2 linked regions of the Macaca mulatta genome follow. The protein of the gene in region 1 purifies or fractionates together with the protein of each later gene. This does not show direct contact. Links are inferred from orthologs where the notes say so. Each region holds a gene or a part of one and is shown in the gene's direction. Other genes may lie near its edges. The genes, in order: CCT8 and TLE2.

Region 1 (3,819 bases):
TAAAGAAATGTTCTCATGCACTGTAGATTAGTGAAATATATCTGAGGACCCAAGTAAACCTCAACTCTAAAAAATCTAGTGTGGAATTTGTGAGAGTTTTTAGTACTGTGAACAGTTCACTTTTTCAATACGTATACATTGGGATAATGTTGCAATTCAAAAAAAGTATTCAACAGTCTGGGTACTTCAGTCCCTAAACACTTCAGTGGCACATACTTAAAGAACTTCTGGCTTTACAAAAGCCCAGATTCTAACACAATGAGAAAAATATTCCACATTTCAACATTAGAAAATACCGATAAACTCTGGAAAGGTATTCGACTTGAAGTACCTCATTCCCATTCTCTAATTAGCCTTAGCATGGTTCCCTGTACTTTTCACTATTTTTAATAAAAAAATTATAAGTCTTACGATTTGATGTGTAAGTAGGTACCTGCAGTCCCCCAAAATGTTATACTTCTATTCATTCAGCTAGAGAGGAAATGTATGCATCATTTATGAATATCAAATGCTATGTTTTACATAAATCTTGTTTGATTGTCTCAACAATCCTATGAGGTAGGTACTATTATAATTACCGCATTTTATAATGAAGAAATATTAAGAAAATTGCCCAAATTAAAAAGCCAGAAAGCTAAGATTTGTAACCAGCCCTCTTGTGCCGAATACCTCAGCTATGCTCCCTCTTTATTAGAAGCAAGATATAAGCGAAGATATCTTCTGTTTGAAAATTCTTGTTTCACTGTCCTGTCTAATTAGCGGGGTTTTTTGTTTGTTTGTTTTAACAGCACTTTTCAGGATTAGAAGAGGCTGTGTATAGAAATATACAAGCTTGCAAGGAGCTTGCCCAAACCACTCGTACAGCATATGGACCAAATGGTAATTTCTAAATTAATATTTGTAAAGATACAGTAGTAGAATTTTGTGTACTACCTCTTCTTTCAAACTTGTTCTGAGGATGTTATAGTATGGCTTTGGAAGTTAATTTGATAGCTTAATTAATAGTTCAAGTTTTTAGTTATTTCTAATTTTCAGTCAACTCAGATCTCTAGAAAAATAGGGATCAATATATTACTTTTTATCCTGTTGAGAGGGTAGAAAAATTATAACACTTTGACTAGTAAGATAGTACCTAATGTTCATTGTGACAAACACTGAATATAAAAGTGACGTAGTTTAAGGAAGAAAATTCCCTCCTTCTTCTTGCCTTCTACCGCCAATTAAATATAATTGATACAGTTTCATGGAATAAACATACAACTAAATATACTAAATAGGTTATTTTGGCCTTTTTACATATTAATATCTGTTGAGCACTTGTTGCATGACAATCATGTTGCAAGAGAAGACAGAAATTGGCAAAAATGTGAGATTTGGCATGTTACGTAGTAAATATTGTAGGACATTAAAAAGGAAAGAAAGAATATGGGTCTGCGGTCAGAGAATGCCCATGGGGCTATAAGATAAACTTGAAGAATAGATAGTATGTGTTTTCTTACAAAGCTATTTTTTAAATACACAAATTTATATTTTTTTACTAGATTTTCGTGGGTATTTGGGTAAGGATTTGATTAATAATGGCTTTCTTTTTCTTTTTTTAACTGTTACTTTTGAGGAATGAACAAAATGGTTATCAACCACTTGGAGAAGTTGTTTGTGACAAATGATGCAGCGACTATTTTAAGAGAACTAGAAGTAAGTTGTTTCTTTAAAAGTCAAGAAATATTTTGGTGACATCAAAATTAAGTAGACTTTAACTAGAAGAAATCTCTTATTTCAGATTGGATAAGGGACTGTTTTTCCAACTTGAAAATTTATTATACAGGTTGTTCTAATTATAGAGAGTCCTCTTTAGATTGAACATTGTAACGACTGAAATCTTAAAAATTTCTTAAGTTATTAATTTGTGGAGGGATTGGTTGTGATACATTGCTAATTGGGATATGAAATTGATTACCATTATCTTCATTCGATAGAGTGACTCTGAAGTGAATTATTCCACAATGCAAAAACGTATACATAAAACAGTGGTTTTTAAAAAGATCCAACCACTTGATTTTATGAAAATAAAAACAGTCAGTTTATGGCAATCTACTTTGTTCAGCTCCAGTTTTGCTATTAGAGTCTATAAAATAGATACTGCCTGCCAGCAGGGTTGTAAGGAAGATCTGTCACCTGAACAGGCAGAGAGAGCCATTCCTCATTCCCGCCTTGTAATTAAAAGATAACATATTCAGCCTCAGGGAATTTTCCTGCAGCTTAGCCCTTGAAAGCGCTAGAACTTAATCTTTTGTTTTAAATGAAACTATAGAAGAATCAGCATTTCTCTAACCTCTTAAAATATTTTTGGCTGGACGCGGTAGCTCACGCCTGTGATCCCACCACTTTGGGAGGTCGAGGCAGGCGGATCACCTGAGGTCAGGGGTTCTAGACTAGCCTGGACAACATAGTGAAACCCCATCTCTACTAAAAATACAGAAAAAAAAATTAGCCGGGCGTGGTGGTGCACACCTGTAATTCCAGCTACTCAGGAGGCTGGGGCTGAAGAATCGCTTGAACCTGGGAGGCCGAGGTTGCAGTGAGCCAAGATCACGCCACTGCACTCCAGTCTGGGCAACAGAGCAAGACTCCAACTTAAAAATATATATACATATATATATAATTTTTTTTAAGTTTAAAGTTAAATTTTAACTCCACAAAACACTTGTACAAGGATTTGTCATTGTGAATGTTAATGTTGCACACTGATGATCTCAGGAGTTAACATCAGGAGTTATTAAAGTATAGTGGTGATACTGTCAAAATAATAAAATCACAGGGCTGACTTTTATAGTTTACTCCCTGCTTTCAGTTCTTACTCCTTGGCTTGTTTCTGTAAAGATATCTAAAATTAAATCTTAAGAATAAAATCCACGTAAAATTATGTTACATTTTAAGAAAACTTTTATACTCCCCCTTTTCTTTAAATCACAAATGATAGCCCTTAGAACAAGAATATATGGTAAAATAGATACTGAGACTCATGACCAAGTTAAGTGGTATCTATTTTAGTTATCCTGAAGGATTTTAAAAAAATATTTAGGTTTGGTGGTTGTAATTACTTTGTTTTTTAATTTAGTGAGATATAATGATATGCTGAACCATATGTGTGGCACTGTATGTACAGGCCATCAAAAGAGGATGCACTTTGAAATTCTTATTTATAGTGATACATTTGTGCTGATCGGCATAAAGGGACTTGGATTTTTTCTTGTGACCACACTATAAGTAGCGTATAGCGGTGTGATCAAATGGAGTTACCTAATCTACAGGAAAATTGGAGTCTAAGAAAGGGAAATGAACAATTTTATGTTGCTTTAAGAATCAGATGTTTAACTTGATATTACCTTTCCTACTAGGTACAGCATCCTGCTGCAAAAATGATTGTAATGGCTTCTCATATGCAAGAGCAAGAAGTTGGAGATGGCACAAACTTTGTTCTGGTATTTGCTGGAGCTCTGCTGGAATTAGCTGAAGAACTTCTGAGGATTGGCCTGTCAGTTTCAGAGGCAAGTGTTCATTTATAATTTACTCCTACTTAATTTTTGCTTACATGTACACCTGCTTAAAACATAAACTAAAATCATTATTATAGTAGTAGCTAACATGTACTGAGCAGTTTCTCTGTACCAGCAGCCGTTACAGTACATATGCTTCACATGCAGTATCATTTTAGTCTCACAAAAACCCTATTTTTGAGGCCTTATAATCTCATTTTATCTATTTTTTCTTTTTTTTTCCCCACTTTATTTTAGATGAGAAAGAGATTAAAATTAGAAA
Region 2 (3,819 bases), on another chromosome or scaffold:
AGGCAGCAGGAGGTTTCATAATCTTCCCGTGGTAGGTCGTGGGTACCCATTCTAGAGATTGGGGTGGGAGTCGGGAGGAGGATAGAGAGGGACTCCTTCTCTCTCATTTCAACTCTGCTCAATGTTACCTTCTCGAACCCAGGACCAACCCTCAGAGCCCCCCAGCCCGGCTACCACCCCCTGCGGAAAGGTACCCATCTGTGTTCCTGCCCGTCGGGACCTGGTGGACAGTCCGGCCTCCTTGGCCTCTAGCCTTGGCTCACCACTCCCTAGAGCCAAGGAGCTCATCCTGGTAAGGAGGAGGGGAGGGCCTTGAAACTCACTTTATTCATCCTGGGGGCCTGGAAACAGACACTACCCCATGACACAGAGGGCAATGATGAGAAATCAGCCCGGCTGGCATTGTCCACCCTCTCCTTGTGCTTTTTTTTTTTAACCTCCCGCTGGGACTGACTTTGTTGAACCTCAGTAAATATTAAAAGGCAACTTTGTAAAGAAGCTTTGTAGATAAATTTTAAAAGGCAATTCACCACCTTACATGGAAAGCAGGTCTCTCTGTTGCAATCAATAGGAAATCCCATGGAAATAAACACAGTGAAAGCCCAGCCAGCTAAGCTGGACCCAGGCCTGCATGTGTTGAGCCCTTCCAGAGGCGCTTAGAGATACACCGGCCCCAAGCTGAGATGTTGTCCCCGGAAGGAAAGATAATTAATATAGGAACAACTTTCCGGTTGGACCTCCTGGAGTTTAATGCCAGGCATGTAAGCCATCTAAAAGCACCCCCAGGGCATTCCAAATTCAGCTCCTTTTGTGGCTCCCCTCACCCCAAATCTTCTCCAGACCCCTCCCCTGCACTTACCAGGGGAGAGTATGTCGGTTTCTAGGCCTCCCCTCCCGGTTTCAAGGCCTCCCCTCTTGGCAGGTTACCATGGCAACCACCAGAGGTTGGGGCTCCCATTCTATCTTAAGTGCCCTCCTCCCACTGCGGGAAAAACCTTACGAGGGGGTAGGGCAGCTCCGTTGTATTGGAGAAGCCCTCAGGGGTCCTCCCTGACCCCACAGTTGTCCCATCCACTCTCTCGCGGGTGCGGGTGCTGTGCAGCTGTCAGCGTGTGTGCGATGGTGTCATGGGAAGCCGAGACAGACGCAAGACAAGGATGCGAAGTTTCTTGGGAGGCAGGGGAGGCGGTGACATGAAGCCGAGATAACAGAACCTGCCCCTAGATGGAGGTCCAGCTGCTGCTTTCCTCAGAGTTCCCCTTGGGGAAGGACAGCTCTGGGTGACACCTCCCTCTCCGTGGGGGGCACAAGGAGGATTGCACTGTGTGCTAGGCGTTCTTCCTTCGCCTGAGAATATGCCGCGGTGGGGTCTGCCTCTCCACGAGCCCATCCCGGAGTTTCTAATTCCTTGTCGTTCAAGAATCTCAACAGTGACTGCGGGCTGTGGCTCATGCCTGTCATCCCAGGGCTTTGGGAGGCCAAGGCAGGACGATCACTCAAGAGCAGGAGTTGGAAACCAGCCTGGGCAACATAGTGAGACCTTGTCTCTACAAAAAAATTTAAAAAGTTAGCCGGGCATGGAGACGTGTGCCTGTAGTGCCAGCTACTTGGGAGGCTGAGTCGGGAGGATCACTTGAGTGTGGGAGGTTGAGGCTGCATTGAGCTACGAGCGTGCCTTTTTTTGTTTGTTTTATGTTTTTTGTTTTGGAGATGGGGTCTCCCTCTGTCACCCAGTCTGGAGTGCAGTGGCGCGATCTCAGCTCACTGCAACCACTGCCTCCCGGGTTCAAGAGATTCTCCTGTCTCAGCCTCCCGGATAGTGGGTAGCTGGGACTACAGGTGCGTGCCACCACACCTGGCTAATTTTTTGTATTTTTAGTAGAACAGAGTTTCACTGTGTTAGCCAGGATGGTCTAGATCTCCTGATCTCAGGTGATCTGCCCGTCCTGGCCTCCCAACGTGCTGGGATCACAGGCATGAGCCACAGCACCTATCTGATCATGTTATTTTTGAGAGCAAGACCCTGTATTAAAAAAAAAAAAAAAAATGCAAATCTTGACAGCCTATAACTTTGTAACTTTGTTGCCTTTTTTTTTTTTTTTTTGGTGGAATTTTGCTCTTGTTGCCCAGGCTAGAGTGCAATGGCCTGATCTCAGCTCACTGCAACTTCTGCCTCCCGGGTTCAGGCAAGTCTCCTGCCTCAGCCTCCCGAGTAGCTGGAATTACAGGCACGTGCCACCATGTCCAGCTAATTTTGTATTTTTAGTAGACAGGGTTTCACCATGTTGGCCAGGGTGGTCTCAAACTCCTGACCTCAAGTGATCCACCTGCCTCGGCCTCCCAAAGTGTTGGGATTACAGGCGTGAACCACCGCTCCCAGCTGAAACAGAGTCGTGTTCTGCTGCTCAGGCTGGAGTGCAATGGCGTGATCTCAGCTCACTGCAACCTCCACCTCCCGGGTTCAAGCAATTCTCCTGCCTCAGCCTCCTGAGTAGCTGGGATCACAGGCATGTGCCACCACGCCCGGCTAATCTTTTTTTGTATTTTTAGTAGAGATGTGGTTTTACCATGTTACCATGTTGGCCAGGCTGGTCTCTAACTCCTGACCTCAGGTGATCCGTCCACCTGGGCCTCCCAAAGTGTTGGGATTACAGGCGTGAGACACTGCGACTGGCCCCCACAGTTTCTGATCAGATCATTAGGCCACAAGACACCAGGTGTCTGGTGGCGTTCAGTCCTGCCCTTTCTCTGCAGAATGACCTTCCCCCCAGCACTCCTGCCTCCAAGTCCTGCGACTCCTCCCCGCCCCAGGACGCGTCCACCCCTGGACCCAGCTCGGCCAGTCACCTCTGCCAGCTCGCTGCCAAGCCAGCGCCTTCCACGGACAGCATCGGTGAGCACCTTGCCTGTTGGTGCCTGTCCGGAGCAGGCCTCATCTCCGGGGAGATCTAGGAAAAGGGGCTGGAGAGGCAGAAGGCTGAGATTCCAGGCCTGGCGTTCATTGCCTTAGTCCTTTTTGTGACTTCAAGTTAGACTCTGCCTCCCTCTGGGCAGTTCCTCGTTGTCTCCGCTTGGCGGGTAGGGAAACTGAGGCCTGGAGCGTGGAAGGGGCTTAGTCGCGGGTTTCAGCCTAGTGCACTGGAGAGACGATCTTTGGGGCCAGATGGGCTTGGGTTTCAGACCAAGCTTGGGTATTCACCAGCTGGGTGACCTTGGGCAAGTGACCCAACCTCTCTGAGCCTCAGTTTCCCCATCAGTAATCTGGGGAATGACAGTGGTCATCTTTGCTGCCGTACGGTCACGCCCTGGGCTGGTTCTAGGGCCCCTGAAAAAAGTTGTCCTTGGAACCTGCCCTCAAGGAACTCCCAGGTGGCAAAAAGGGACGAAACCCAGACCCCAAAACTCACAGCCCTGTATAATCAGGGCTGGTACCAAGCCAGGTGCCCAAGAAGGGCAAAGCTGGAGGTTGGCAACGGGGAGGTTCAAGGATGTTTCGGAGATGTTAAGGGACATTGGGCCTCAATTATTTTTTCTTTTTTTTTTTGAGACGGGGTTTCACTCTTGTTGCCCAGGCTAGAGTGCAATGGCACGATCTCAGCTCATGGCAACCTCCCGCTCCCGGCTTCAAGCAATTCTGCTGCCCCAGCCTCCCGAGCAGCTGGAATTACAGGCATGCGCCGCCATGCCCAGCTAATTTTTGTATTTTTAGTAGAGACCAGGTTTCACTATGTTGGTCAGGCTGATCTTGAACTCCTGACCTCAGATGATCCTCCCACTTCGGCCTTCCAAAGTGCTGGGATTACAGGCATGAGCCTGGGT

Evidence for each region.
Region 2: the proteins of CCT8 (region 1) and TLE2 purify together in Homo sapiens (affinity purification with mass spectrometry; 3 studies listed by BioGRID and IntAct, with this or other methods). This does not show direct contact. The link is inferred for Macaca mulatta from reciprocal best matches to the Homo sapiens genes CCT8 and TLE2.

The regions. Positions count from the first base shown.
Region 1 is NC_133408.1:18,428,658-18,432,476, forward strand, and holds part of CCT8 (T-complex protein 1 subunit theta), read left to right. Parts: intron 1-788; coding exon 789-879; intron 880-1,615; coding exon 1,616-1,695; intron 1,696-3,398; coding exon 3,399-3,548; intron 3,549-3,819. UniProt on the Homo sapiens protein: Component of the chaperonin-containing T-complex (TRiC), a molecular chaperone complex that assists the folding of actin, tubulin and other proteins upon ATP hydrolysis.
Region 2 is NC_133424.1:3,804,583-3,808,401, reverse strand, and holds part of TLE2 (transducin-like enhancer protein 2), read left to right. Parts: intron 1-142; coding exon 143-292; intron 293-2,754; coding exon 2,755-2,893; intron 2,894-3,819.